Linked DNA regions of Anolis sagrei. The protein of the gene in region 3 interacts with the protein of the main gene of each other region in a pairwise test. Links are inferred from orthologs where the notes say so. Each region holds a gene or a part of one and is shown on either strand. Other genes may lie near its edges.

Region 1 (8,124 bases), on a different chromosome or scaffold from region 3:
TTTCTAATGTTACACCATTAAGCTGTATCACTGGCATTGGAGAGGGGTTGGCTGGTGACTGCTGGAACAGCACCTTGGTTTTTTCAATGTTCAATGACAGGCCGAGCTTCTCGTATGCTTCTGCAAAGGTGTTTATAGTGGCTTGTAGATCTTCTTCTGAATGAGCACAGACAACGTTGTCATCAGCATATTTATTTATTTATTTATTTATTTCGGTTGCTTCTACCCCGCCCTTCTCACCCCGGGGGGGGACTTAGGCGGCTTACAAAAGCGAGGCACAATTCAATGCCCGCATCACATACAGCAAAAGACAATAACATCATTTAACAACAACAATTCTATCAATAACAGCAATTACCATAAAGACAATAATTATAATAGGTAAGAACAACCATAAAACCAATAAAAGCAATAAAATCCATACAAACCTCCTTGACGGTCAGCGTTTCACATTCTCATAGTTTAAATTCAAATTCCACAATTGTCAGCCCTTTTAGTCCTATTCATCTGGTTTCCATATCTAATTGTCAGGTTGCCCAAAGGCCTGGTCCCACAACCACATCTTTACCTTCCTCCTGAAGGTGAGGAGGGATGTTGACGCCCTAATTTCCCCCGGGAGTGAGTTCCACAAGTAAGGGGCCACCACTGAGAAGGCCCTGCTCCTCGTCCCCACCAGCCTCGCTTGTGATAGCGGTGGAGTCGAGAGCAGGGCCTCCCCGGATGATCTCAAATTCCGGGGTGGGACGTAGAGGGAGATACGTTAGCCGCCCTGAGTCCCTCTGCGGAGATAGGGCAGGATACAAATTCCCAAAATAAACCTCACTTGCCTTGTTTTCAACAGATCTCACAACCTCTGCGGATACCTGCCATAGATAGTGGTGAAACATCAGAAGAGCCTGGAAAACTCACAGCAAGCCAGTGATTTTGGCAATGAAAGCATTCAACAACTATTTATTTATTAGATTTAATAACCTGCCTTTCTCCAGGATTCAGACCCCAACTATTACTAGGTTACAGGAGTCTATATTTCAGAGGAAGAAAGTGGCAGAAATTATTTCTTGGGTATTAGTTTCCCTAAAACCCTTATGCAGAACTCATTCCTGTTCCCAAATCATATAGCTATTATTATTATTATTATTATTATTATTATTATTATTAGCTATTATTATTAGCCATTCTTATAGGTATGTTCACCTTGGTCCAGGAGTGCTTCAAAGTGGTTGCAGAGTCTGTAAAGTCTCCAAAAGGCTGGCTATTATTGGGTTGCTGGTTATTACTGAGGGAATTATTATTGTTGTTGTTATTATTATTATTATTATTATTATTATTATTATTATTATTATTATGGAAAGCTATTCTTAAGATAAATTTACCTCTGTCCAGGAATACTTCAAAGCAGTTGCAGAGTCTGTAATGTTACCAGAAGGAAAGCCAGCTCTCTCTTCCACAAGTCACTTCCCCTTTGGAGACCATTAAAATCCTTGCAACTTCACCAAGAGGTGGGACTTTCCTCAACATTTCTTCAAGGAAAAGCTTCACCTGTTTGATCAGAGAGTGCTGCTGCCTCACCAAACTGCAACTCCCAGGATGCTATCTCTCAGGGTACATCTATATACTATGGAATTAATACAGTTTGACACCACTCTAATTAACTGCCCTGGCTCAATCCTGTGGGATACTGGGATTTGTAGTTTGGCAGAGAAGAAAAGCTGGTAAAACTAGCTTTTCCCAGGTATATATGTTACATATTATTTTAATCTTTGCTCTGTGTATTTCAATATGTATTTTATAGAAGTGCAATTTAATATGCATCTTTTATAGAAATACATTTTAATTTGTATTTATAGAATACCTGCTCCCTGGTGGGTTAAACCGCTGATTTGCTGAACTTGCTGACCAAAAGGTCGGCATTTCAAATGAGGAGCAGAGTGAACTCCCCGTTAGGCCCAGCAAGAGTGAGTAGATTAATAGGTACTGCTTCTGTGAGAAGGTAATGGCGCTCCATGCAGTCATCCTGGCCACATGACCTGCGATGCGTCTACGGACAATATCGGCTCTTTGGTTTAGAAATGGAGACAAGCACCACCTCCCGGAGTCAGACACAACTAGACTTAATATCAAAAGAAACCTTTACCTTTTTATAGAATTTTTACAATGTTTATGTGTTTTTTAACAATGCTGGAATCCACCTCCAGGCACAAGGAATGCTAACTAAAAAGTAAAATTACACTATGTAACAAAATTTGAAAAAAAGTGTTCCTGAATTGAAAATGTTACTTCCTGTTTAATTGTGTGATCCTTTGAAAGAAGTTGCTACACTCCAGAAACTTTGTATTTGTGGCTGCCACAAACTATGAGATATGTGTATATATGTGGTTTTGCGAATGCATTGTAATGTAACTTTTATTTTTTGGCTTTTTAAGTATCTCCCGCTGTGTTTTTCAGTGTTTTTATGAGTGATGGTCACTTGTTGGGCTGATAGGTGTATTGCGTCCAAATTTGGTGTCAATTCGCCCAGTGGTTTTCGAGTTATGTTAATCCCACAAATGAACATTAAAATTTAATTTATATAGATACTAGATGTATCGGCCACACGTTGCTGTGGCCAACTACCCCCCCCCCCCTCTTTCTCTCCTTTCTTTCTCCCCTTCTTTCCCTTCCTCTCTGGGTGTGTATATATTTGTATATATGTGTGTATATATATATGGTTTTGCACATGAGTTGGAATGTATTTTGTGTTTTTTGGCTTTTTAAGTGTCTTCTGCTGTGTTTTTCCATGTTTTTATGAGTGATGGTCACTCATTGGTCTGATAGGTGTCTTGTGTCCAAATTGGATGTCAATTCACCCAGTGGTTTTTGAGTTATGTTAATCCCACAAACAAACATTCTATTATATAGACTAGCCGTCCCCTGCCATGCGTTGCTGTGGCCCAGTCTGGTGATCTGGAAAATAAAGTAATGAGAAAGTGTTGGTTTCTAATCTATGTAATTTCTTTATGCTTATGGGTAAACAGTATTTCTTACTGTTTCTTTGTCAGTGTTGATGTAGAGATTGTCTGTTTTGCCTACTCTGGAACATGCAACATATCATTGTCCTTCTTTAGGTGTCCCTCTCAAATCCATGATACTATATCTCTCTCTGTGTGTAAATCGTATATATCTATCTATATCTATGGCTGGATGGCTCTTTGTCAGGAGGGCTGTGATTACGTTTTCTTACCCTGGTGAAGGGAGTTGGACTGGATGGCCTTAAGTATTTTCTATTAGTCATAGGGGTTCTGTGTGGGAAGTTTGCCCCAATTCTATCTTTCATGGAGTTCAGAATGCTCTTTGATTGTAGGTGAACTATAAATCCCAACAACTACAACCCACAAATGACAAAATCAATTTTTGAGTGGGTTGTTGTAGGTTTTTTCAGGCTATATGGCCATGGTCTAGAGAGGCATTCTCTCCTGACGTTTCGCCTGCATCTATGGCAAGCATCCTCAGAGGTAGTGAGGATGAGTGATGATCACTCCTTGGGTTAGTAAGTGTCTTGTGGCCAAATTTGGCGGCAATTCGTCCAGTGGTTTTTGAGTTATATTAATCCCACAAACAAACATTACATTTTTATTTATATAGAAGAGGATATGGATGTTAGATTGCCAGCCTTAAGCTGGTGAAACCTTTCCCATTCCTTTATCCCATTACATATGACATATGATGAATCCTATCTATCTATCTATATATAAATGCTCTGTGCATAATGAGTACCTTAAAAACAAAAGAACCAATGAACGAAATCACACCAAATTTGGCAACAAAACGTCTCACAACACAAGGAGTGACCATCACTCAAAAATTTATGATTTTGTCATTTGGGAGTTGTAGTTGCTGGGATTTATAGTTTACTTACAATCAAAGAGCATTCTGAACTTCACCAATGATGGAATTGAACCAAACTTGGCACATAGAACTCCCATGATCAACAGAAAATACTGGAAGAGTTTGGTGGGCATTGACCTTGAGTTTGGGAGTTGTAGTTCACCCACATCCAGACAGCACTGTGGACTCAAACAATGATGGATCTAGACCAAACTTGGCACAAGCACTCAATATACCCAAATATGAACATAGATGGAGTTTGGGGGACATAGACCTTGACATTTGGGAGTTGTAGTCACTGGGATTCACAGTTCACCTACAATCAAAGAGCATTCTGAACCCCACAAACAACAGAATCGGGGCAAACTTCCCACACAGAACCCCCATGACCAACAGAAAATACTTAAGGCCATCCAATCCAACTCCCTTCATCAGGGCAAGAAAACGTAATCAGAGTCCTCCTGACAAAGAGCCATCCAGCCATAGAGAGAGAGAGAGAGAGAGAGAGAGAGATGATTCACACACAGAGAGATATAGTATCATAGATTTGAAAGGGACCCTTAAAGAAGGACAATGATATCTTGCATGTTCCAGAGTAGGCAAACCAGACACTCTCCACATAAACACTGATAAAGAAACAACAAGAAATACTGTTTATCCACAAGCATAAAAATTAAATATATTAGAAACCAACACTTTCTCATTACTTTATTTTCCAGATCAACAGACTGGGCCACAGCAACGCGTGGCAGGGGACAGCTAGTATGATATATACATATATGCACTCTTCCTCCCTCCCTCCCTCCCTTCCTTAATTTTTGCTTTCAATCAAGAAGCAACACAGTGACCCGGAACCCCACTTCTTGTGCCGTGTTTCCCGGGGAAGGTATTGTTTATGGCGCCCGTTCCCTCTCCTCTGCTTGGGGCGCGCGCCTTCCAAGCCAGGCTGCCACTTCCGGTTCCTCTTCGGCTCGCTCCTCTCTTCCTGCCCAGCTTTCCTTCCTGGGGAAATGAGCCCCCCAAGCCTCCCCCATCGCCAGGCCCGTGGGTTCCCGGATGGAGCAGCAGGCTCTCGGGCTTGGAGCAGCCTCAGCCTCGCCTGCCTACCGGCCCGCAGCCTCAGACCGGCCTGGGTGCGTCTACACCAGCTGCTATTGGTAAGGCTTGGAAGAGGCCCCAGAGAAAGGCCGTTCATCACTCCCAACCCCATTCTGCCAATGCAGGAATACACAGGCCCGTCCCACACAGTCAAAATACAGTACATACATCAACACATAGATTATAACATGCATCTCGTGTCTTTATTGACAAGCTGAGATCTGACCAGAGGAGGGCAACTCAAATGATCAAGGGTCTGGAGAACAATCTCTATGAGGAGTGGCTTAAAGAGCTGGGCATGTTTAGCCTGCAGAAGAGAAGGCTGAGAGGAGACATGCTGAGGTCTATGTATCAAGATGTGAGGGGAAGTCATTGGAAGGTGGGAGGAAGCTTTTTTTTCTGCTGCCCTGGAGATTAGGATGCGGAACAATGGCTTCAAACTACAGCAGCATTTCTCAACCTGGGGGTCGGGACCCCTGGGGGGGGAGTCGTGAGGGAGTGTTAGAGGGGTCGCCAAAGACCATCAGAAAACACAGTATTTTCTGTTGGTCATAAGGGTTCTGTGTGGGAAGTTTTGGCCCAATTCTATCGTTGGTGGGGTCTAGAATACTCTGATTGTAGATGAACTATAAATCCCAGCAACTACAACACCCAAATGACAAGGTCTATTTTCCCCCCAAACTTCACATTTGGGCATATTGAGTATTTGTGCCAAGTTTGGTTCACATTCATCACTGTTTGAGTCCACAGTGCTCTCTGGATGTATTTGAACTACAACTCCCAAACTCAAGGCAATGCCCACCAAACCCTTCCAGTATTTTCTGTTGGTCATGGGAGTTCTGTGTGACAAGTTCCGTTCAGTTCCACTATCGATGGAGTTCAGAATGCTCTTTGATTGTAGGTGAACTATAAATACCAGCAACTACAACCCCCAAATGGCAAAACCAACCCCACGCATATTCAAATTTGGGCATATCAGGTATTTGTGCCAAATTTTGACCAGTGAATGAAAATACATCCTGCATATCAGATATTTATGACGATTCATAATGGTAGCAAAATGACAGTTTTGTTATGGTTGAGGGTCACCACAACATGAGGAACTGTATTAAGGGGTCACGGCATTAGGAAGGTTGAGAACCACTGAACTACAGGGAAGGACATTCCATCTGAACATGAGGAAGAACTTACTAACTGTGAGAGCTGTTCAGCAGTGGAACTCTCTGCCCAGAGTGTGGTGGAGGCTCCTTCTCTGGAGGCTTTTAAACAGAGGCTGGATGGCCATCTGTTGGTGCTTTGAATGCGATTTTCCTGCTTCTTGGCAGAATGGGGTTGGACTGGATGGCCCACGAGGTCTCTTCCAACTTATGATTCTATTTGGAAAATAAAGTAAACACAACATTTTTTATTCTGTTACAGAACAGATGATACTATGAACATTTTTGTCAAAATTCTCTTTATTCTTTGTGCTTCCACCGCCCCCTTATTTTTATTCAACTCTTCCCCCCCCCACACACACACACCCCCACCCACACACACCCCCACCCACACATCCCCACCCAATTGCACCCGAGGCTACCAAGATCCTTCAAGTGCAGTATTGCCCTATTGATGCTGCCTAGAATTGTATGAGCTTTTTTAAGCTGCTGCTGTTGACTCATGTTCAGTGTAATGGTTTAGGCAACACAGATAAAGTGACTGACATTCCTATGTTATCTAGGTGCTTCTCCATGATGACACCAAATTTGGAGGGATAGCCAGTAGTCCAGAAGACAGGAGCAGAATTCAAAACGATCTTAACAAATTAGAGAGATGATTGGCCAAAACTAACAAAATGGAGTTCAACAGGGACAAATGCAAGATACTCCACTTAGGCATAAAAAATGAAATGCAGAGATACAGAATGGGGGATGTGTGACTCCAGAGCAGTACATGTGAAAATGATCTTGGGGTCTTGGTGGACAACAAGTTAAACATGAGCCAACAATGTGATGTGGTGGCAAAAAAAGCCAATGGGATTTTGGCCTGCAGCGATAGGAGTATAGTGTCTAGATCCAGGGAAGTCATGCTACCCCTCTATTCTGCCTTGGTCAGACCACACCTGGAATATTGTGTTCAATTCTGGGCACCACAATTGAAGAGAGATATTGACAAGCTGGAATGTGTCCAGAGGAGGGTGACTAAAATGATCAAGGGTCTGGAGAGCAATCCCTATGAGGAGAGACTTAAAGAGCTGTGCATGTTTAGCCTGAAGAAGAGAAAGCTGAGATTATACATGATAGCCATGTATAAATACATAAGAGGAAGTCATAGGGAGGAGGGAGCAAGCTTGTTTTCTGCTGCCCTGTAGACAAGGACTCAGAACAATGGCTTCAAACTACAAGAAAGGGGATTCGACATGAACATTAGGAAGAACTTCCTAACTGTGAGAGTTGTTCAGCAGTGGAACTCTCTGCCCCAGAGTGTGGTGGAGGCTCCTTCTTTGTAAGCTTTTAAACAGATGGATGGCCATATTGGGGGTGCTTTGAATACAATTTTCCTGCTTCTTGGCAGGGGGTTGGACTGGCTGGCCCATTAGGTCTCTTCCAACTTTATGATTCTATGATTCTGTGATGAGAATTTCTGAAGTGGCATGAGAGGCATTCATTACACGATCTAAATACTACTACAGGATATGCCAATTCATTAAGTGCTGATGATAACTTGCCTTTGCCTTCCCCTGAGCCGAGATGATACAGCTTATTTATTTACTGTACTTATACCCACCCATCTCACCCCTGAAGGGGGGCTAAGGGCGGCTTACAAACTATGATAATAATTCAGTGCCAGATTCAGGCAATAACAGTATCAGTAAAACATAACATTATAAAATTGTAATAAATATACATATCAATTAAAGTAATCTTTCAAATGATTAAAACGTATCAAGCTTGCTAGTGGTCAGTGGGTTTCCAGGTCAAACCTGCTCTCCCAGTGTTCTCGTCCCAATACTCAAATTACTACATAATGCTGGTAGTGTCCTTGTATTTAATTCAGCCAATGCATAGGGTGGGGTAAGAAGAGACAGCTGGTTCTTGGCCTTCTGTATATCTACTGTATTTTCCATACAGTGGTGTATGTGATAAGTATAAATCTTAGCAAAAGTCAACTCTGGTTCTAACA
Region 2 (8,337 bases), on a different chromosome or scaffold from region 3:
GCTTGGGACTTACTGCAGGAAGCTCAAACCAAGGGGGCATCATATGAACTTGCATGCCAAGCTGAGTCTGCAAGCAGATGCATTAGTAGATAGGGATTAAGGACACTTTGGTTAAGACACTCCAACCAAGCATGTTCCAGACCAATTGATGTCAATATAAGGCAACCCTTAGGAAATCAGTACGAATGAAGGTTCCTTCAATTTGGCTGAACTGTGTCTACATTTTTCTCCTCAAAAGTGAATCTCCATAAAGGTGAAAATGGATTATTTTAACCTGCTCCCTGAACACTTGGACTGGGTAGAGAATTCAACACAGCTCTCTCTTTCTCCATTTCCTAATTCTCCCCTTCACAACACCCATCCCAGATTGCAAGAAATATTAATTGGGGCCGCTGAGTTATGATTTTCAGCCTAGTCCTATCCATTAGCAAAAGAGCATACCCAGTTCCTTATGCAGAATGTTTCCATGCTAACCAAGACCTTCGAAGTTTGCTTCTGTTCGCCATCGAAACGCAAAGGGTGGCCATGAATTGTGAACATATCACATTCTCTCTCTACTAAGATTGACTTGCAAACAGAAATATATAGGGTTGGGCTGTGAGGCAAAACTGCACAGTGCCTACTAAATACCTATGAACAAGACATGACGTTGTACATATTTACTGAGAAGCGGACAAAATTGATTTCAGAGGGACTTGGGCTCTCTGCATAAATGTGCATAAGGCAGCAACCTTAACAATTTAAGACCCTTTCCAAAGCTAGGATGCTCCAACTTAAAGGCTGTTGGGCGTGCAGAAGTATTTGAGCGCTGAAGTTCGGGGGAGTGCTAATCCAATGCTCAAAAAGTAGCTGCTGGAACTCCCTCGGTAACACACACTTATTCAAGGAAGGAATGCCTATTTCGACAAAAAGCCATTTTGATAAACAGGCACGTTCTGGAATTCCTCCCCACACCTCAGGAGTCCTTCAGACTGGCATGCAAATTGTTTGGTGGGGGGAAGAAAATCCTATTGCCTCAGAGGCCCCTGCTACATTTGAATTGTTTGACAGGTTAAGGGAAATCATAATTAAAGAGGGAGAGAGATGGAGACAGACACATGGAATAATAGCCATGCAGCGTGGCAAGCCAAGAAGAAGCAGGAGCCATTGCATTTCAAAAACTCTGGTGAGTTTTTAATTGCCAGGATTGCATTGTGCGCCACCCCAATGCTCCATTGCCTCCATTATGTTCCCTAGCTCTGTGCCATTCATCTCCCCTCATACCCTCCCTACACTTTCAGATACAAACACAACAAAGTGATCGCAACTCCGTAACACCCAGGACTTCACCCTGCCACCTTTTGCCATTCGGAACATGGGACTTTTTGTCTACTTCACGCTAATTGCTGTCATCCTCAAGCAAGGACATTTTGTTTTCAAAACCACACACATGCACACCGCCAGCACTCTCTCCCTCACAAGACCACCACATTTCTGCCATACTTGCTGGGAACTTTGGGTGCAGCTTTGAAGAAAGAGGAGGGTAGGGTAGGGTACAGATTAGGGTAAGGTGGCATTTTTTGCAGCTAGATATGCCATCACATAACTAGCACCCAGTGGCGCAATGGGTTAAACCCTTGTGCTGGCAGGACTAAAGACTGACAGGTCAGAGGTTTGAATCTAGGGAGAGCACGGATGAGCTCCATCTGTCAGCTCCAGCTCCCCATGTGGGAACATGAGAGAAACCTCCCACAAGGATTTTTTTTCATGTCAGGAGCAACTTGAGGAACTGCAAATCCTACAAGGATGGCAAAACATCAAAACATCCGGGCATCCCCTGGGCAACGTCCTTGCAGATGGCCAATTCTCTCACACCAGAAGCGACTTGCAGTTTCTCAAGTTGTTCCACACACACAAAAAAACAAAACAAAAACCTAACACCAGCTCAGAAGAAAGAAATTGGTTCTGCCAAGAATGACAAAAGGCTTCCTCCTCACTTTCCGCCCTCCCCTCCTTGTCACCTCCTCTATTTCTGAAAAGCCATTTGGTTTCGGGCCTAAAAGCTTGTTTCTCTGTTCATTGGCCCACATCTTCTCTATATCCTCCAGCTCTCAGAGGGATAGGAAGTGCAAACATCTCTCTCTGTCTTCCTCATATATATATATATATATATATATATCCATCCCACGCCAAGAACTCAAGTGTGGCTGTTTTCTTTAAAGTCTGTCACCCATAAACTGTTTAATACACCACTTTTCCCCCTCCCATTTTCCTTCCACCTCCCCCCCCCCCCCTCTGCCCCTTTCCAAACTGAATGCGGTGCTGCTGGAAGCCAATTTGATTCTCTCCTCCCCTCCTTTCTTCCAATGCAGCTGTAAGACTCAGAGAGATACTGACATTTTTCCACTCTTATCAGTTTAATTACAGTTACCATGGCAGCAAAGTGCTAGTGGTTGGCAAAGGCCAACAAGAGATTTGCAAGAGTGAGCTCAATTTTGATGCAGTTCACATGCAAAAAAAAGAAAAAAAAAGGGGAGAAAAATTAATACACACACATTCTCACCCACATAGACAGACACAGGAGCAGGACAGAGGAAACACACACTTTAACAACAAAGACCCCTCCTCTTTTGTATCTCTAACACAATTCTGGCTCTTCTCATCACCCCTGCCAGAGCCAGGCAAGGACAGCCTGTGCCTTGGCTTTGTTGTCCTAGTTATTAGTATTAGTAATGCGGCAGGGAGAAGGGGAAAAGAAAGAGATCCATCACAATTCCTAAATCAGATCAGGAGGGGTTGTGTTTGGAGATCCCCGACCCAAGGCGTTTGCAGAAAACACCATCCTGTCCAACAGGACAGTTCAGGACAGGCTTGGATGGATGGCCAAAGGGTAGCTTTGCTTTCCCCCTGTTCCTCCCTCGAAATAGATATATAGAGTATAGACACACACATATAGACACAGGGATGCTAGAGGGAGGGAGAGACGGACAGACAACTCACACACCCGAAGACGCGATGACAACAACCTTACCAAAACTTTTCTCCTTTTTCTGCATGAGGGGATGGCAGGGACTTCCCAGGGAGCTGCTTCGCTTTGAGCCCAGGCAAGGCAATGGGCAAGCAGGCCAGCCTCCCCAGCCCCCTCTTCCTCCCCGTGTGGGTCCAGTGGAAGAGGAGAGTGCTGGACACCGGGGAAGGAAGGAGGCGAAAGAGAGAAGAGAAAGAGGAGGGAGAGAAGGGCTATTGTGCAGAGAGAAGCACTTGGGAAGAAGGCGACGCTTGGGCTGCGAGGAAAAGCCGCGCGCACTCGCTTTCTCTCTCACACACACAGCCACAGACACACACGCAGGACGCCTTTGCCAGCGTGAAGTCCTCTTAGGGAAATCCGTGTGTGTGAGAGAGAGTGATGATAGTGGCGAAAGGAGGACAGATCCCGGTGGCTCCCTGAACTCTCTTCTTTCCCGATCTCGGGGTTTGGAAGGAAGAGCCATGCCACAATAGTAGGAGGAAACATCCCAGCCAGAAAGGAAGGATTGGGGCTGGAGATCAGAGAGAGAGAGAGAGAAGAGAGACGAGTAAAGAGTAGGAAGAGATCTCCATGACAAAAGCCGGGGAGGCTGCTTTCCAAGCTCCGATCTTTCTCCAAATTGATCGCGAATGGAGAGGGCAGGAAGGGCTCAACATTGCGCCCTGTCCACACCGTTTCGAGCCTCTTTATGAAAGAGTTGGGGTTTGGAAAGAAGAGAAAGGGAACCCGGTTCCTATCTAGAGGAGAGGGGGAAAGGGTTGGAAGGAAGGCGAGGAAGGAAAGCAGCTGCTCTCTTTCTCTCTCTCTCTCGCCACGGCGTTGGAGAGGCGCGCTCGCCGCTTCGGGGCAGGAAAAGGCCAGCCTGGGCTCCATTGTTTGACTTTGTTCCAACTAGCCACGCCAAGCGGGCCCTTCCTTCCCCAAAGTCCGAGCCAGGACTCTCCGGTGCCCGGCCAAAACCAGACGAGTCAAAAGCGCACACACACACCTCCCCAAAGTGCTTCCAGCCCAAAGTTGCAGGGCAGCAAGAGGAAAGAGGAAGAAAGGAGGAGAGAGGGGTGGGTATGGTATGGGGGCCAGGAGGGGGAAAGAGAGGAAGCCCCAAGCCCCACATCCTGACCCAGAGCCCTCCCTTCCCGCCTCAGGCTCCCACTGGCCCCAACTTACCTTCTCCACTCGACACGGGCAAAGTCACTTCGGGACCCCTAGATGCCACTTTCGAGGCGCTCTCCTTGGGGAAGGACAGAGATTGCGCGCAGCATGGTCGGAGGGGGAAAGAAGAGAAAGAGAAAAGAGGAGGGAGGGAAGGGAAGGAAGGAAGGAAGGATGGAGAGAGGAGAGGAAGGAAGGGAAGAGAAGAGAGGGAAGGAAGGGGAGAGAGGAAAAGAAGGAGGGAAGGTAAGGGAAGAGAGGAAAGGATGGAAGGAAAGAGAGGAAAGGAAGGAATGGAAGTAAGGAAGGGAAGAGAGGAAGGAAGGAAAGAAAGAAGGAAAGAGAGGAAAGGAAGGAATGGAAGTAAGGAAGGGAAGAGAGGAAAGGAAGGAAGGAAAGAAAGAAAGAAGGAAAGAGAGGAAAGGAAGGAATGGAAGTAAGGAAGGGAAGAGAGGAAAGGAAGGAATGGAAGTAAGAAAGGGAAGAGAGGAAGAAAGGAAGGGAAGAGAGGAAGGAAGGAAGGAGAGGAAAGGAAGGAATGGAAATAAGAAAGGGAAGAGAGGAAGAAAGGAAGGGAAGAGAGGAAGGAAGGGAAGAGGAAGGAAGGAAAGAGAGGAAAGGATAGAAGGGAAGAGAGGAAAGGAAGGAGTTGAGCGGACGCGGAGAGAAGGAGGGGCGCAGAAAGAGGGCGCCTGCTTCTCTTCCCCCCAAAAACTAAAGAAACGGAGCCCCAGCTACAGGTGGCCTTTCTAGGGAAGGGGGACAAGGATGCCTGTGGGTTTAGGCTCAAGCCAAAGGAAGCCTTGGAAATCGGGACCGAGAGAGAGAGAGAAGGAAAGAAGAGAGAGGGAGGAGGGAAGGAGGGAGGAGAGAAAGAACTTACCTAAAGCAGCAGCGTGCTTTGAGCCGAGCTGGAAGAAGTCAGGGGCTGAACCAACTGCAGGACGCAATCCCTTAACCAGCCAGACATAATACAGCAAAGGGGGGGAGAAAGGTCACTCGTGTTCTCGGCGTGGAGTGGGATTTGGAGAAGCAGGAGAGGAGCTGAGGAACTGGCGTCCGGTAGCAGGCTATTTACCTCCTTCCTCTCTCTCTCTCTCTCTCTCTCTCTCACGCACGCACACACAGCCCCCCTCCTCTCTCCCCCAACCCCCTCCTTCCCTCCTTCCCCTCCTCCTCGTCGCCCCCCGCCTCCCTCTCGCAAGCCGCAAAGCCCGCTCGCCACAGCGCAAAGCAGCCCGGAGACAGATTGGGCTTTGTCGCTCACCCCCCCCCCCCCCCCCAGTGAACAGTTTACGAGGCGGCGAGTTCAAGTCGGAGGAAAGCAGCTGCAGGCGCCAGGCACGAGCCACCAAGCTGGGATTGGGGGGGGGGGGAGGGAGGGAGAAGCCCCCCACTCAAATCCCCTTCTCTCTGCAAGAAATCCCTGCCACATTCCCAGGAGACGAGAGGGCCGCTCTCCCTTCCCCCAAAGTTGGGAGCCCAAGAGCTCCTTCGTGGCGCCTGTCACTTTCCTCCCACGTGGAGCCCCCCATTGAAGGCTGGGTTTCCCCCTTTGGGAAGAGAGGCCCTTGGGCTTCCTAGGAAGGGAAGGGTTGGAGATGGGAAAGGGATCCTAAAAGAGAAGCCTTTCTTTGTGTTGTCGAAGGCTCTCATGGCCGGAATCACTAGGTTGCTGCGAGTTTTCCGGGCTGTATGGCTAGGTTCCAGAAGCATTCTCTCCTGACGTTTCGCCCACATCTATGGCAGGCATGCTTAGAGGTTGTGAGGTCAGTTGGAAACTAGGTTTATATATCTGTGGAAGGTCCAACTCTTGTCTGTCGAAGGCAAGTGTGAATGTTGCAGTTGGCCTCCTTGATTAGACTACCCAGAGAAGCCATGGAAATCCACACAAGCATGTGGGCAATTGCAACAGAAAGGAGGAAGCCATGAAAATGAACAAAATCTGGCGACCAGTATTTAAAAAACCCACCAGAATCAAAATAGTAAATAAAGAACAACACTCTGAAAACAGGGGACTTCCAGACAGGAAACAATGAGGGCCATCTAACACCCAGGAAGGAATCAGCCAGGCCTTGAAGCTGCAAGGCTTTTTGGTGTTAATCAAGGCATTCACACTTGCCTCTCACATATATACCAAACCATACGAAAATGATCTTAAATAATATAAAGGCTTGAAGCTGCAAGGCTTTGCAATGCTAATCAAGGTGGCCAATTGCAACATTCACACTTGCCTCCAACAGACAAGAGTTCTTTCTCCCACCCTGGACCTTCCACAGATATATAAACCTCCCTTGTTTACCTCCCAACAAATGATTCTCCCAGGCAGTAAGAAGCCAGACCTTGAAACTGCTAGGCCATTCAATGCTAATCAAGGTGGCCAGTTGCAGCATCCACACCTACCTCAAATGGACAAGAGTTCTATCTCCCACCCTGGACATTTCACAAATATATAAACTCCATTTTCCTAGTTTCTAATAGGCCTCACAACCTCTGAGGATGCCTGCCCTAGATGCAGGCAAAATGTCAGGAGAGAATGCTTCTGGAACATGGCCACACAGCCTGGAAAACTCACAGCAACCCTGAAGCCTTTCCTCACTCCCCCATCCCTTAAAACTTAGAAATCCAGACTTGGAAGAGGCACAAGGGCCACCCAGTTCAACCCTTCCCTCTTTCAGGGAAATACAACCAAAGCATTCCTGACAGATGGCCCTCCACGCCTCTGCTGAAAAACCTCCACAGAAGGGGACTCCAACACACTAAAGCACCACATTCCACTGTTGAACAACAGCTCTTCCTGCCAGGAAGTTCTTCCTAATGTTTAGGTGGGATCTCTCTTCTCTACAATGTGAATCCATTGCTCTGTTTCCTAGTCTCTGGAGCAGCAGAAAACCACCTTGGCTTCTTCTTATACATCCTTTCAAAGGACCTTTTGGGGACTAGTTCAGGAATTGCAACAGGGAGGTTTTGAAGAAGGGGTAGAACAGGTTTGGGCCAACTTGGGGACCTCTAGGTGTTTTGGACTTCAACTCCCACCATTCCTAACAGCCTCAGACCCCTTCCTTTTCCCCCTCAGCCGCTTAAGCGGCTGAGGGGGAAAAGGAAGGGGCCTGAGGCTGTTAGGAATGGTGGGAGTTGAAGTCCAAAACATCTAGAGGTCCCCAAGTTGGCCCAGGCCTGCTCTAGACATCCACCAAGGCTGGATGCTCTCAACCTGAGCTAAGTTTCAGGCCCGGGATTGAAAGCATACACATTTCAGTGCAGTGCTGGATGCTGCTCCCTCTCACAAAATATTAAGAGATGGGGCTTCCTATCCCCCCCCTTCCCGACCCCACGTAGAGCCTCCTTCTGGTGTAAATAACCCCCCACCTCCCCCCAGGCGCCTTCCCTTTTGAAAAGAGTCAACCCTACAGCTGGGAGAGGGGAAAAAAGGGGGGAAGAAACCGATTAAGAATTTGCCAGCGCCTTTTGCCAGACTTCAAAGCGACCCTCGCTTGCCTGCCATTAAGAGCCTCACACCAAGATTGCCACAAAGGTTTTTTTCCCCCTCCTTAAAGATGTCAGAATCCCCCATCCCTTAAAGAGAAAATGAATGACACCCATTATGAGAAAAGGTGCTTTGCAAAGCTTTTGAAGCCTAGGAGGGGTTTGTCATCAGCCTGGCTCTTCCTAAGGCCAGATAATGCACCAACCCTAATAAATAATAATAATAATAATAATAATAATAATAATAATAATAATATACATCACACAGTTCTAGACACTTGGAAAGTGTCTGAGGTGTGATCCAATACAACAGCCAGCAGAGTGATCTTGTCTGCTGTGGACTCATCTTGATGTGTTTCAAATAACAACAACAACAACAACAGAATATTAATAGCAATCACAACAATAATAAGCAGCAAGAAATGGAAGGCACAAATGTCCAAGTGGGGCTTACCCCCTCCTCCCTTATGGGACTTATGTTACATACCAAACTATACAAAAACTAAGCCTTGAACCTGTATAGCTTTGCAATGCTAATCAAAGTGATTAATTGCAACATTCACACTTGCCTCCAACAGACAAGAGTTCTTTCTCCCACCTTGTACATTCCACAGATATATAAACCACAATTTCCTAGTTTCCAACAGACGTCACAACCTCTGAGGATGCCTGCCATAGATGTGGGCGAAACG
Region 3 (6,682 bases):
CCTTTTAGTTGAAGATGTTGACTGCACACTTTTCCAGATCCAAATACCTACCCTTTTCCTAATCTGTCAGTGACAAATTTACACTTTTTCATGCATACTTTCCCATCTCTGCAGGGGCAAAAATAACTTTCTATTCACTCTAAATTAGAAAACATCATCGTGCCTTGTTTATTATATTTCTAAACAAGCATCAAATGGAGTAAACAAGCATCAAATGGAGTAAAAACTCATATGTGTACATGCTCTGTTTAATATTATAAAGTTTAAAAGAAAGAGTTTCAGAGAGTTCTCATTGCTTTCCACTTGTGCTTCCCTTGAGCCACCTGTGTATCCATGGCCAGCTGATCGGGTATTTCAGGCTTTTAAAAAGCACATGTGCGCTGTAGGAGTCCACACAGGGGGGAGGGAAGGGAAGCAAATGTTTTGTATGACTACATGTATATATAGTTATGAGACAGTGCACATTTTGGAGACGGAATCAGATTTTAAGCGAATCTTTTTAACATGTGCTTTCCAACTGTTAACCCATTTTAGCCTGCACTTTGGCTAAACAATCCCTTTTAACCCAGTTACTTTTCTGGGTTTTATGTGTAGAAGAACCCTAATTTGTTTTCAACTTATGGTGACCCTAATGTTAACCTGTCACAGGGTTGTCCAAAGGTTTCCATGCTGAGACTCTGTCTCTAAAGTCATAGTCCAAAGCCCATACCACTGCATCACATCAATCTTTCCTTCTGAGATGTTCTTGTGGCTATTCCTTGCTGCTGGTGATCCTGTCAAAGCCCTGGCTGCCCTCCAGAATAAAGAAATGATCAGGGTGATGGACTTGGTTGCCCCTGAGGGTCCATGGAGTGGGGCTGATCTGGGGCCCTGGTTTATCAGTGAGCCAATGGCATTGGAAGGAAGGTCTAATAATTCAAAACGTCATTACTGCTTTTTGAATCAACAACAGAACTTTATTAGCTCTTACATCACAGGAGGGAGATAATTTCCTGAAAGTAGATGGACTTCTATTCAACCTATCCGATCTCCCTGTAGCTGTTCAACTAACAGGCTTCTTCATTCAGTATTCTCTGACTGACTCTCAATTAAATCAAAGGCGTTAAGCGTCTCTTGCAGCAAGCCCATCTGAGCGATAATATTACTGATAGCATCTTTGGTGGTCTTTTGTTGGAGCTTAAGTTTATTGTTCTCCTCCCAAAGTATTTTGTTCCCTCCTTCATTATTCTGGAGTGCCTGCTTATCTTCCAGAAGTGTGTGGTTCTCTTTTATGAGAAACAATACCATTTGGTTCAGTTTCTGAACAGTTTCAAGTACTTCGTTTTCTTCTAACAGTGATAAGGCAGTTTGTTGCCTTTCTTTTTCTGAGGTGGCACTGCTGTCTTCTTGTGTTTCTGGTTCAGCTGTAGCAGGCTCAGCTGATGCAGAGGTATTGTTTGTTTCCTGCTCAAGGGGTTCCTTTCCCAATAAGAGGTCAGATTGCTTTTCCTTCTGAAGGACTGGGGTGAGTTTCTTCTCCTCCTCAGGAAAAACCTTCAAAGCCAAAATCTTATCCCGAAAGATTTGAAGAGCTTTTTTCTCTTCTTGGATAAATTGAAGGGCTTTGTTTTCCTTACCCCCCTGGAGTCCTCCTTTGCGTGAAAGAGCTACTAAAGGCTTATTTTCCTGTTGGAGCATTTGTTGAAGACTCTCATCATAGATAACCTGAATACCTTTGTTCTGTGTCCTTAGACACTGGAGTACTTTATTCTCTTCCCGAAGTGCCCTGTTTTCCACTCGGAGGGCCTTGTTTTCTTCCCAGAGGGCTTTGTTTTCTTCCCAGAGGGTCAAGTCACTGTGCATCTTCTTGCTATAGTGTTTCTTGTGGGCTTCTGCTGAAGAGGAAATTGCTGGTTGAACAAACGATTCATTCACCCACTTGCCATCTAGAAAGACAAAGGTGTCATCACTGAGTTTGACCTTCGGCGGGATGCAGTCCATCTTTACCTTCCACTAGGTGCATATATTGGTTCAAAAGAAAGTCCGAAGACCTGGATTATTGCATGAAAGTGAAGAAATACACATTAAATTATATTATTTGATAGTTTATCAGCAATATGCATTAGTTATAATCAAGCACTCTGAAATCGGTACAATTAAAATAATGAACCATGAAAAACATTAAGTCTGTTATAAAGGCTACAAAATGAAATTAAATGAAATCACATGAGATTAAGACATTCTCGAGTCAATGTTTGTAGTTCTTTTTTCTTCTTTTGGAAAATGAAACATTTTAAAGCCAATAATTTGTTTAAAGCCAAGCCAGCTTCCCTAAGAATTGCCTTCACTAAACTGCTTTGTTAAATAATGCCTGCCGCAGTTCTAGATAAATGCTATAATAAAGTGCTATTTGAAAACAGATTATTTCAAACAGGTTAACTATTTGAAATCAGTTAACAAGGTAGATGTGTTTCTGAGCTTTACTTCTTTAACGGAAAATGTGCACCAGAGGAAGAAATAAGAAGGAAATAATAGGTATAGGTTCTTACACCACAACTAAGGAACAGTTCAATATGGTTTTTCCCTGAAAAACAGTATGCACATGGGAACAAAACAATTAAGTTGGCTAAATGTTGTATAAGTAGTCTCTACTCACATTGACAGAGCTCAAAACTCCTGCAGAAGTAGAAAAACTGCAAAACGCATTCTATGGATCGCCTGTCATTCCCTTTCTCATCTTTCACCACAAAGCCTCAGACAGATCTTAAACCCCTTTCCCAACTATTGACTTCCTCGCCCTCTGTTACCAGATTTTAAATCCCTTTTCAGCTACATTACTTTGGCCCATTCCACACAGCTGAATAAAATCCCACATTATCTGCTTTGAGCTGGAATATATGGCAATGTGGACTCAGAAAACCCAGTTCAAAGCAGATATTGTGGGATTTTCCGTCTTGATATTCTGGGTGATATGGCTGTGTGGAAGGGACCTTTGTCTCTCCTTCCATGTCCTTCCAAAAGCACCAGTCCCTCTCCATTCACCACCTTTGCACCAAAACTTGCCTTCATTCAGTCATTATACACAATAAGTTCTTTTGTAAAATGGATTCATGATATTTGTTATAAATATTCTATTTAGGTAGGAGGGATAATAATTATGAAGCTTCATCAAATATTCCATATTTTCCCACGGAATTGTCTCATCTAGCCAATTGAAAAAAAAGTTTTATTTATTTATTTATGACATTTATATGTCGCCCTTCTCACCCCGAAGGGGACTCAGAGCGGCTTACAAGGTATATGTTACATATAATATATTAGATTATTAGCATAGTACAATATCAGTATTAAACATTGCTATATTGCACCATACCACTATATCGTAATATTATTAGTAATATTACATGTAATATAAATATATAATAATAATAATAATAATGTATTATTATTATTATTATTATATTGCATTACATTATAATATTATAAATATTATATGTATATACAATTTATTATATTTATAATTTTATTATTTTAGAATGAAAAGAACCATAATGTAGTACAATGTTTGATATTCTCAACCTCCCTTTTTGGTAAACGTAACTGTTTTTAGAAACTGTTGCTTCCAAAAAAAAAATGGCCAATTTTATACATTTGTTGTAGATGGCGTAGTGCAGGGATAAGCAGCTGTGGAAAGCTAGAGTCTACATATCGTCTCCAAGAGCCTAAACCTCCCACTTACTCTTGAAAAATATGTGGGGTTCCTTGGACCCCTCAAGAGCATTGTGGGTAATTTTACGTGGGGAAAGAATGGAGATATTTGGCAAACATTTGTTTTGATTGCGGGGATTCCAAGAGGGAGCTCCAAACATGGTAAAAATACTTTCCACAAACCCAAATCTTCCTGTGGGGTCATTTTGAGGGACAATTGATCCTGGGAAGTCTTTTTTCCAACCCCTACTTTAGTGGAGTAACATGATATAAAAATAACAGTTCGGAAAGATTGTGAATTTTAGTTGTTGCTAGAGAAAAAGCATTGAAATATTTAACTTCACATTCATTCCACTTATTTTTAACCAATTTGTGAAAGACATGTAGTTTATTCTAACGAACAGATTAAAATATTTTTGATAATAGCTGTGTATTTAAAGTGAGAAAACAAATATTGAACTTCAATTAATGTTTATATTTTTATCATGGTATTCCCTGTAGTAACCTACGGATGTGAGAGCTGGACCTTAGGGAAGGCTGAGCGAAGGAAGAGAGATGTTTTTGAGCTGTGGTGTTGGAGGAAAGTTCTGAGAGTGCCTTGGACCGCGAGAAGATCCAACCAGTCCATCCCCTAGGAAATAAAGCCAGATTGCTCATTGGAGGGAAGGATACTAGAGACAAAGTTGAAGTACTTTGGCCACATCATGAGGAGACAGCAAAGCCTAGAGAAGACAATTATGCTGGGGAAAGTGGAAGGTAAAAGGAAGAGGGGCCAACCAAGGGCAAGATGGATGGATGGCATCCTTGAAGTGACTGGACTGACCTTGAAGGAGCTGGGGGTGGTGACGGCCGACAGGGAGCTCTGGCGTGGGCTGGTCCATGAGGTCACAAAGAGTCGGAGACAACTGAACGAATGAACAATCATGTCAGGTGCGACATGAGAAACTGCAAATTGCTTCTGGTGTGAGAGAATTGGCTGTCTGCAAGGACATTGTCCAGGGAGCACCCGGATGTTTTACCATCCTGTGGGAGATTTCTCTCATGTCCAAGATAAGAAGCTGGAGCTGACAGACAGGAGCTCACTCAGCTCCCTGGATTCGAACTGCTGACCTTTTTCGGTCTGCAGTCCTGCCAGTGCAAGGGTTTAACCCATTGCACCACCAGGGGCTCCATTTAATGCCCGTTCTTTCTAGGATGTCATACGCTGTTCCAACAAATGGGCTATTTTTCTCCCTCACCAACAGTGCTTTATAGAGAGCAATGAGCATGCTGAATCTCATCAAGCTGTTCGCAGAAGCTTGTCTTTTCTTTTAAACTTATGTACAAACATTATTTGGCATGTGGTGTGCCTGGTTCACTGTCTAGATGACAGGCATGGAACAATTATTCTGGTATTAGAGGGAACAAACAAAGAATCCGAACAAGTTTTCTAACCAGTTTCAAAAAGGAGACTTGATCAGAGTTTGTAGAGTTGAGAACGAGTATCTGGAGTGATGGGATCAGTAGTAAGTAAAAACATTTTAACTTTAATAAACTTCCCATTCTGATTGCTCCTCTTACAAGTTCTAAAATACTAAATTACTTAGTTGTTGTAGGTTTTTGGGGTTGTAGGGCCATGTTCTAGAAGAATTCTCTCATCCTTAGAGGTTGTGAGGTTTGTTGGAAACTGGAAAATTGGGTTTATATACTGGTAGCCAGTACTAAAAAACTCTAAAATTATAACAGTAAATAAAAAACAAAACTCAAACGCAGGGAAACTCCAGCCAGGAAACAATCAGGAACACCTGGTCACTTCTCAACAAGGAAATTTCCCAGGCAGAAACAAGCCACACCTAAAAGCTGCCAGGCCATCAAATGCTAATCAAGGTGGCTAATCGAAACATTCACGCCTAGCTCCAACAGACAAAAGTTCTTTCTCCCCCTGGACCTTCCACAGATATATAAACCCTATGTTCCTAGTTAGCAACAAACCTCACAACCTCTGAGGATGCCTGCCACAGGTGCAGGCAAAACATCAGGAGAGAATGCTTCTAGAACATGGCCATACAACCTGAAAAACCTACAGCAACCCAGTGATCCCAGCCATGAAAGCCTTCAACAATACACTAAATTACTTAGATTTGTGTTGGCTGCTAGTTTAGTATTCATCTTTTCTTCTCCTCCAAACCTTCACAGGTTTTGTTGACAAAAGAGAGTTGGCAGAAATATTTTGCTAGCAATCTGGAAATCCTACTCAGGTCTTTAAATCATATACAATTTGGGGGGGCAAACTATGTTTGGGAGAATAGTATGACAAGTAGAAATTGAGTGTTCCTTATCTGGAATTTCAAAATCTAAACTACTCAAAATCTTGAAATTGTCTGCATGGGTGGCTAAGATAGTGACACCTTTGCTTTATGGTGGTTCAATGTAGAATTGGCAAAACAGCTTTAAGGCTGTTCTTATGAGAGAGTGGGGTAAAGAGGTGTCTGGAATACTTTGGTTTAAGAGCCAATGGGGAGAAAACCCATGCAAAAGGAACTAGCGTTGTGTATTGATACATGGGATGAAAGCCCATTGAATATTTAAATTGCTTTACCTATACATGTATTGTGCAGTCACTTATTTTTCATATCTAACAATGTCATTTGTATGATTAGCAACTCTTGTTATTTTAAATAAAGTTTATTATGCTTTGAGCACCTTGTTTCCAGAATTGAGTCTGCCTGTATGTTACAAACAAGCAAGGACTACTCGTGACATGCCACAACCAGTAGGGAATAATTGGTCAGATGGATAGAAGTGACCACCAGTATAATCAGAAGTGCACTTTGGACTTCAAAAATCCTGTTTCAATATGAGTAAGATTTCAATATGAGTGAAGTTAAAACACGAAAAAGTTCATGTAGTTTTTTTTCAAGTGAGACATTAAAATTTCAATTGTAAACAATTCATTTAAAAAATAAAGGAGACACTAAAGAAATGAAATGTGTTTAAGAAACACACAGGAAGAGTA
Region 4 (8,022 bases), on a different chromosome or scaffold from region 3:
TGATATTATGGTTGGAAACCGGTCCGAGTCCCTCAAGAGAGGTGAGAAGGCCGGTATATAAAACTTTTAAATAAATAAATAAACTGTGGGAACTCACGCCACTCCCCGGATTCAAACCTGCAACCTTTCTGCAAGTTCAGCAGCTCAGCACTTTAGCCCACTGCACCACCGAAGGCTCCTTCATCAATAGATCGCGCAGAATTAAATGGATGAAACAACTGTTATATATGATTGCTTACCTCTTTCTGTTTCCAGCCTCTTCCAGCTTCTCTCCTTTTTTGCTCCATCTCTGGAGTTCATCCTTCAGCCGTTGGTTTTCCCATTTGAGTTCGGCTGCCTCCCAATTAGACTGCGAGGTGGCACACCAAGGCAGCCCCACAGGCCCTGGCAAAGGAGGGGCTGACCGGCTTTGGAAATGGGATGGTGGGATCAGCCCTCTGGGCTCTACATAAAAAACAGATGAACACCAAAGGCAGAGATGGACATATAAGTACTGAAAATTCAGACAATTGGATTTTATATTGGAGGGAACTTAGGGATACAACAGATCAGTATTCTAGGGGTTCATACTATGACAGATTCTGTCCGTTCAATCCACATTCTTGCAGAATTTGGTCAATGGTAAAAAATATTTACTGTAGTATACTTTCAATGAACCAGCACCCATGGGGATTAGTAGATGCTGGATAAACATAGTTTCTGGTTGCTTGAGAGTTACTATTAGAACTAGGCCTAACTACTGTATATTGTATATTGATTGTTATGATTGTTTTAACTGTGATAATTGTTTTAACTATGGTTTTGTACACTATGTATAATTTTTGTACAGGCATCGAATTGTGCCTTTTGTAAGCCACCCTGAGTCCCCCCTCGGGGGTTGAGAAGGGCGGGGTAAAAGTACCCGAAATAAATAAATAAATACTGTATTAGTATATCCTGCCTTTCTCCCTGTGGGGACTTAAATTAGAAAGGGGGGCAGAAGACAGTTCCACCTTGTCTCCTGTGCTATTCTAATAATAAAATATAATAAATATAATATAATATAGTGTATATACATATATTTATAATATTATAATGTAATGCAATATAATGTAATACTATAATTATATATGTATATTACATGTAATATTACTAATATTATTACAATACAATGTTATAGTACAATATAGTAATATTTAATACTGATATCGTATTATGCTAATAATATATATTGTATGTATATATATCTTGTAAACCGCTCTGAGTCCCCTTTGGGGTAAATGTCGTAAATACACTGTAGAAATAATGAGTTTGACACAACTAACTACCGGACCCACTGCTACGGAATCCTCGGAATTGTAGGCACCTTCTACACTGCTATATAAAATCCAGATTATCTGCTTTGATAATCTGGATTATATGGCATTATATAAGCATCTCTTCCAAAGATTCCACAGCACTGAAATTCATGAATACTATAGTGTAGATTCCATATGTGACACTGACAAGCACAGGACACTCATACTCCCAACTTCCCAAATAACAAAATCAATATTAACACACAAAGAAGCGATCTCAAATGCGCTCCTTTTTTTACCAGTGGATCTTGGCACTCCGAACGCAGCAGGAGGCTCCAGCTGTTTGTCTGAATCTTTCCTTCTATCCATGGCTCCGAATCATAATCCTTCAGAAATACATTCACAGAAGTTACAATTACAGGACCCACCACCAAAAAGAGAATAATAATAATAATATTGCTCCCTAGAAATCTTGAGATCCTCCAGCACAATTCTATGAACAATTTCTACTGAAAGCAGACTATAAAATAGCACCAAGGCCCCTTCTACACTGTCATATAATCTACATTATTGGTTTTGAACTGGATTATATGGCAGTGTAGACCAGGCATGGGCAAACTTTGGCCCTCCAGGTGTTTTGGACTTCAACTCCCACAATTCCTAACAGCCTACCGGCTGTTAGGAATTTGTGGGAGTTGAAGTCCAAAACACCTGGAGGGCCGAAGTTCACCCATGCCTGGTCTACACTGCCATATAATCCAGTTCAAAGCAGATAAACTGCATTTTATATGGCATTGTAGAAAGGGCCAAAATATGGATCTCTCAGGTGTCTGGCACTCATGGGGGTTGGTAGATTCTGGTTGCTTGGGAGTGCCTATTAAAAATAGGACTAACTAATACTATACCCCGTACTATACCATAAAGGTAAAGGTAAAGGTAGTCCCCTGACATTAAGTCCAGTCATGTCTGACTCTGGGGTGTGGTGCTCATCTCCATTTCTAAGCCGAGGAGCCAGCGTTGTCCGTAGACACCTCCAAGGTCATGTGGCCGGCATGACTGCATGGAGCGCCGTTATACCATACTATACCATACCATACACTTTAAATTTACTTGATATTAATATTGAAATGCAATAGTTAAAAGCAAATCAGGACAAATAAAATCTTAATATATTGCGTTATTATAAAAACAGCTATGTGACTGCACTATGCAATGTTGTTTTAAAAGTTTTGCTGGTTGCTTGAGAGTTCTGCTATCTGAAATTCTGGTTAATTGAGAGTCTACTATATTTGCATTCCATTTTACAGGTTGAGCATTCTTTTATTTCACATCCAATATCCTAGAGATCATTTTATACAATATTGTATATGTATATAAGGCATATATATATCTATATCTGAATTTCATGATGAGGTTTAGTTCTCCTCTCCAAGTTAATATCACTATGGAAATCAAAGTATTCCAAAATCTGGAAGGAAAAAAAATGCAAAATATTTTGGATAAGGAAGACTTTATCTGTGCTCTAGAGCTATTAATTTTTGTGTTACTTACCAATTGTTTCATGCACAAAATGATTAAAAAGTATTGGTTAACATTAGCTGCAGGCTATGATTCAAAGATATATGTCTAACAAGCAATTTTAATGCTTAAGAAGCCAGTCCTAACATGATCCTCTTTCTTCTTTTGCATTTCACAAGTCAGTTGGGTTTCTTTAGCACAAGCTGCTTTCTAAATCCTTTCTTTTACTCTTTAGAGCCCCCCTTTTCCCTTATAAATTGGTTCGTTCCGCTTCCCCCCTTTTCCTCCTTCTCATTGGTTCGCTCCGCCCCCCCCCCTTTTCTTTTTACATGAATCCACCGTTCCGAACCCTCCATCAACAGTCACTAGCAGCAACCCACCGACGTCGAACTGCGCATGCGCCAAACTCTCGCGTCCCAAGCTCCAACGGAGAGAATAGAAACCACACCGATCCGAAGAGAACGGAAAGATATGGAACGGTGACGTCACGAGATAGGCGGGACGAATGTTAGACACACCCCCTCGCGGTGTCTCAGCCAATCAGATAACGGGACAAGCTCTTTGTTGTTTAGAACGGGTTTTTTTTTCCTCCCCGCTTCAAAAGGGCGCGCGAAGAATGAGGACACGCCCCTTTTCCTCAAATCGACCAATCAGCGGATTGGATCCGAAAAAGCGGTAGAAACTTGTTTAGGTTGCCCATTAAGTGCATCTACACTATAGAATGAATGCAATTCAACACAATTTTAACTCCCAGGGCTCAATTACTATGGAATCCTTTAAGTTACAGATTGATGAAGCACAATTACTTTTTGGCAGAAGAGGCTCAAGACCTTATAAAACTACAGCTCCCATAATTTCATAGCATTGAGCCATGGCAGTTCAAGGGGTGTCAAAGTGCAGTCATTCTACAGTATAGATACACCCTAACTTTTAGTATCATAGAATCAAAGAGTTGGAAGAGACATCATGGGCCATCCAGTCCAACCCCATTCTGCCAAGAAGCAGGAATATTGCATTCAAAGCACCCCTGACAGATGGCCATCCAGCCTCTGTTTAAAAGCTTCCAAAGCAGGAGCCTCCACCACACTCTGGGGCAGAGAGTTCCACTGCTGAACGGCTCTCACAGTCAGGAAGTTCATCCTCATGTTCAGATGGAGTTCAACAAATGCACAGCCCATGAATATAAAGAGAAGCCTATTTCCAATTTTCTGCTGTAATGTAGAATCATAGCACTATAATTATATATTGTGTCATGGTACTGGATTTTTTAATAGTGGGCTGCACTATTTTTGCTCCATTGAAACTCATATAGAGCATTTTGTTGAATAATTGTCTCAATCCTCTTTACAAAGAAGAAAAGAAGGTCCTCTCCTAGTTTGCAGAATGCTTTGCAAATCATGCTGCTGTACTTGTTGTTCATTCGTTCAGTCGTCTCCGACTCTTCGTGACCTCATGGACCAGCCCACACCAGAGCTCCCTGTCAGTCGCCACCACCCACAGCTCCTTCAAGGTCAATCCAGTCACTTCAAGGATGCCATCCATCCATCTTGCCCTTGTTCGGCCCCTCTTCCTTTTGCCTTCCACTTTCCCCAGCATAATTGTCTTCTCCAGGCTTTGCTGTCTCCTCATGATGTGGTCAAAGTACTTCAGCTTTGTCTCTAGTATCCTTCCCTCCAATGAGCAGTCGGGCTTTATTTCCTGGAGGATGGACTGGTTGGATCTTCTCGCAGTCCAAGGCACTCTCAGCACTTTCCTCCAACACCACAGTTCAAAAGCATCGATCTTCCTTCGCTCAGCCCTAAGGTCCAGCTCTCACATCCGTAGGTTACTACAGGGAATACCATGGCTTTGACTAGGCGGATCTTTGTTGCCAGTCTGATGTCTCTACTCTTTACTATTTTATCGAGACTGGACATTGCTCTCCTCCCAAGAAGTAAGCGTCTTCTGATTTCCTGGCCACAGTCTGCATCTGCAGTAATCTTTGCGCCTAGAAATACAAAGTCTGTCACGGCCTCCACGTTTTCTCCCTCTATTTTCCAGTTGTCAATCATTCTTGTTGCCATAATCTTGGTTTTTTTGACGTTTAGCTGCAACCCGGCTTTTGCGCTTTCTTCTTTCACCTTGATTAGAAGGCTCCTCAGCTCCTCCTCGCTTTCGGCCATCAGAGTGGTGTCATCTGCATATCTGAGGTTGTTAATGTTTCTTCCAGCAATTTTCACCCCAGCTTTGCATTCATCAAGCCCCGCACATCGCATGAAGTGTTCTGCATACAAGTTAAAAAGGTTGGGTGAGAGTATGAAGCCTTGCCGTACGCCTTTCCCAATCTTGAACCAGTCTGTTGTTCTGTGGTCAGTTCTGACTGTTGCGACTTGGTCCTTGCTTTAGGCTAGGCTGAGGGAATCCCTTCCCCCCTGACACCTCTATCTATATGTTCACTCACTCTCTTACTCTCTTATTGCAGCTGCTGAGTGGGAGGGAACCAGACTACCAACCTGGTACTTTCCAACAGTCACTGAGAGGCCCTCCCGCCATCTTTAACTGCCATTCCACCGGGCCGCTGAGTGGGAGGAAGCCAAACTACCAACCAAGTAATTTCCAACAGCTGCTGAGAAGCCCTCCCACCATCTTTAACCTCCATTCTTCCAGCCGCTGAGTGGAAGGGAGTGTTGTGGCTCAGCTTGATTCTGAGCCTGAAACTGAACCCTCTTGTGAGCCTGAAATGTTCCCTGATGAAGAGGATGATGGGATTCAGATTTTTGGTCCTGTTCCTATGCCTTTGTCTGCACCTCTTGCAGACACTTCACCAGAGGAGTCAACAAGTCAGTTCTCATGGGAAAAGAATGCCAGCGAATTAGATAACGACCAGGGGCAGAGACCTTCACTTGCTCAGCCGTCTCATGCTGATACTGATAGAGAAGAGAGCAGCCTTGATAGTGATTAAATGAGCAGGCAGGAATGTTTAGATTGGTGGGTCAGGAGGAGTTTGCGGCTAGCCAGCAAGAAAGAAGCTAGGTCGATGAAAGGTCATCGAAATGCTTTCATGTTGGCGAGAGCGTAACGTTTTCTTGTTCGCAAAAGGTATTTAGGCTTCTGGTTAACAAGGGGAATGTGTCAGTTCATCGTGGCTTTTAGCACGAAGGTTTCTATGGAATAACCTTGGCTCTAAAGCAGCATGCTCTGGGCTTCCTGAATCGTGATTCTTGGGACTTGTGTTTCACTGTTTTTACCAAGGACTCTTGTTTGACCATTGCTTAAAGGATTATGTTTTATGTTCTTACCTGAGGACCTTTGGAATTGTGTTTTGCATTTAACCTTTGTCTTTGGAACTCTGTATTGCTTACTCTATGTTTTGACTTGGGTTTTTGCCTCAATAAACTACAAAATCTACAGCTCTTGTGTGGTAGTATTTGGGAACAAGGTGAAGCCTACTCTGAGTTGCAACAGGGAGCCAGACTACCAACCAGGCACTCTCTATCAGCTGCCGAGAAGCCCTTCCGCCATCTTTAACTGCCATTCCACCGGCTGCTGAGTGGGAGGGAGCCAGACTACCAACCAGGCACTCTAGCAACCGCCGAGGAGCCCTCCTGCCATCTTTAACTGCCATTCCACCAGTCGTTGAGTGAAAGGGAGCCAGACTACCAACCAGGTGCTTTCCAATAGCCACTGAGAGGCCCTTCCACCATCTTTAACTGCCATTCCACCAGCTACTGAGTGCGAGGGAACCAGGCTACCAACCAGGTACTTTCCAATAGCTGCTGAGAGGCCCTCCCACCATCTTTAACTGGCATTCCACCGGCCGCTGGGTGGGAGGGAGCCAGACTACCAACCAGGCACTCTAGCAACTGCCGAGGAGCCTTCCTGCCATCTTTAACTGCCATTCCACCAGTCGCTGAATGGAAGGGAGCCAGACTATCAACCAGGTACTTTCCAACAGCTGCTGAGAGGCCCTCCCGCCATCTTTAACTGCCATTCTACCAGCCGCTGAATGGGAGGGAGACAGACTACCAACCAGGCACTCTCTAGCAACCGCCGAGGAGCCCTCCCGCCATCTTTAACTGCCATTCCACCGGCTACTGTGTGACGGCGCGAGTGGCACCACCTATGTCTGTAGAACTGTTAGTTGCAAGATTTAAACTGTTGTATCATGCTTAATTCTGCTTTTTTACCCTGCTTATGTATAGTTGGATTGATTGGTTATTTATATTTGTCAATCAGTGTTGTTTGCACCAGTTGAATTGCTTTTTCAGCTCAGTTGTTTGGCTCCACCTCTTCCTGGCGGAGGGGAGTGCTTCCCTTTTTTATTCCACCTTCAGATTTTCTACGAGATGGACATGAGTAAGAGACTTGGCTCTAAAAGCCCCTGATTAAATTACCTCTCAGCACCAATTCTGAGGTTTTTACCCTTGAGACTTATGCTTCATGTTCAGACCAACCTGAACGACATTGGGAAGTCTCAAGCACCTTCAAGCCAGTTCTTTTGGCACCAGAGGAAGACCCTGAGTCTTCAAACTGAGGTTGTGGATTGCTCCGGCATTTACAGCCATTGAGAAAGAGGGACCTGGAAAAGCTTCTCAGCTGCAAACACCTTGGACCCAAGACAACCAGAGACTGTAATGTATATTTTCCTTCCCCCCCTTTGAAACTTCCAGCTTATTGCCTTAAAGAGATAACTCTTTGTGAACAATAAAACTTATTTTGAGTTATCTACAGTGTTTGGGTCTTTGAGAAATCCAGTTTCCTAAAGGAGGGCAAGAAGCAATCCCCTGGGGAAAGATGTCACATCCATGTCTCTTTCACTAAGAGCTATAGCCTCCAGGCGCGACGGCACAACTGAGTGCGAGGGAGGCAGACTACCAACCAGGTAATTTCCAACAGCTGCTGAGAGGCACTGCTGCCATCTTTAACTGCCATTCCATCAGCCGTTGAGTGCGAGAGAGGCAGATTACCAACCAGGCACTCTCTAGCAACCGCCGAGGAGCCCTCCTGCCATCTTTAACTGCCATTCCGTCCAGGGGCGGCTCAACACATTACACAACGTAAGCATTTGCAGTATAGTTGATTTTGCCCAGGGGTGCTCTTGAGGTGCTCTTGGGGGGAAAATAGACCTTGACATATGCGAGTTGTAGTTACTGGGATGTATAGTTAACCTACAATCAAAGAGCATTCTGAACTCCACCAATGATGGAACTGAACCAAATATGGCACACAGAACTCCCACGATGAACAG

Evidence for each region.
Region 1: the proteins of CBY2 (region 3) and NTAQ1 interact in binary tests that used the Homo sapiens proteins (3 or more experiments, as listed by UniProt). The two-hybrid records come from large-scale screens. The link is inferred for Anolis sagrei from reciprocal best matches to the Homo sapiens genes CBY2 and NTAQ1.
Region 2: the proteins of CBY2 (region 3) and LMO3 interact in binary tests that used the Homo sapiens proteins (3 or more experiments, as listed by UniProt). The two-hybrid records come from large-scale screens. The link is inferred for Anolis sagrei from reciprocal best matches to the Homo sapiens genes CBY2 and LMO3.
Region 4: the proteins of CBY2 (region 3) and CCHCR1 interact in binary tests that used the Homo sapiens proteins (3 or more experiments, as listed by UniProt). The two-hybrid records come from large-scale screens. The link is inferred for Anolis sagrei from reciprocal best matches to the Homo sapiens genes CBY2 and CCHCR1.

What each region holds. Positions count from the first base shown.
Region 1 is NC_090024.1:20,445,769-20,453,892, reverse strand, and holds the start of NTAQ1 (protein N-terminal glutamine amidohydrolase), read left to right. Parts: upstream 1-4,793; 5' UTR 4,794-4,920; coding exon 4,921-5,021; intron 5,022-8,124. UniProt on the Homo sapiens protein: Mediates the side-chain deamidation of N-terminal glutamine residues to glutamate, an important step in N-end rule pathway of protein degradation.
Region 2 is NC_090025.1:182,067,748-182,076,084, forward strand, and holds the start of LMO3 (LIM domain only protein 3), read right to left. Parts: upstream 3,369-8,337; 5' UTR 3,036-3,368; coding exon 3,011-3,035; intron 1-3,010.
Region 3 is NC_090023.1:141,537,476-141,544,157, forward strand, and holds CBY2 (protein chibby homolog 2), read right to left. Parts: upstream 2,027-6,682; 5' UTR 1,981-2,026; coding exon 1,060-1,980; 3' UTR 971-1,059; downstream 1-970.
Region 4 is NC_090022.1:21,398,817-21,406,838, forward strand, and holds the start of CCHCR1 (coiled-coil alpha-helical rod protein 1), read right to left. Parts: upstream 3,268-8,022; 5' UTR 3,176-3,267; exon of another isoform or gene 3,135-3,175; intron 3,071-3,134; exon of another isoform or gene 2,829-3,070; intron 1,664-2,828; 5' UTR 1,647-1,663; coding exon 1,577-1,646; intron 445-1,576; coding exon 240-444; intron 1-239. UniProt on the Homo sapiens protein: May be a regulator of keratinocyte proliferation or differentiation.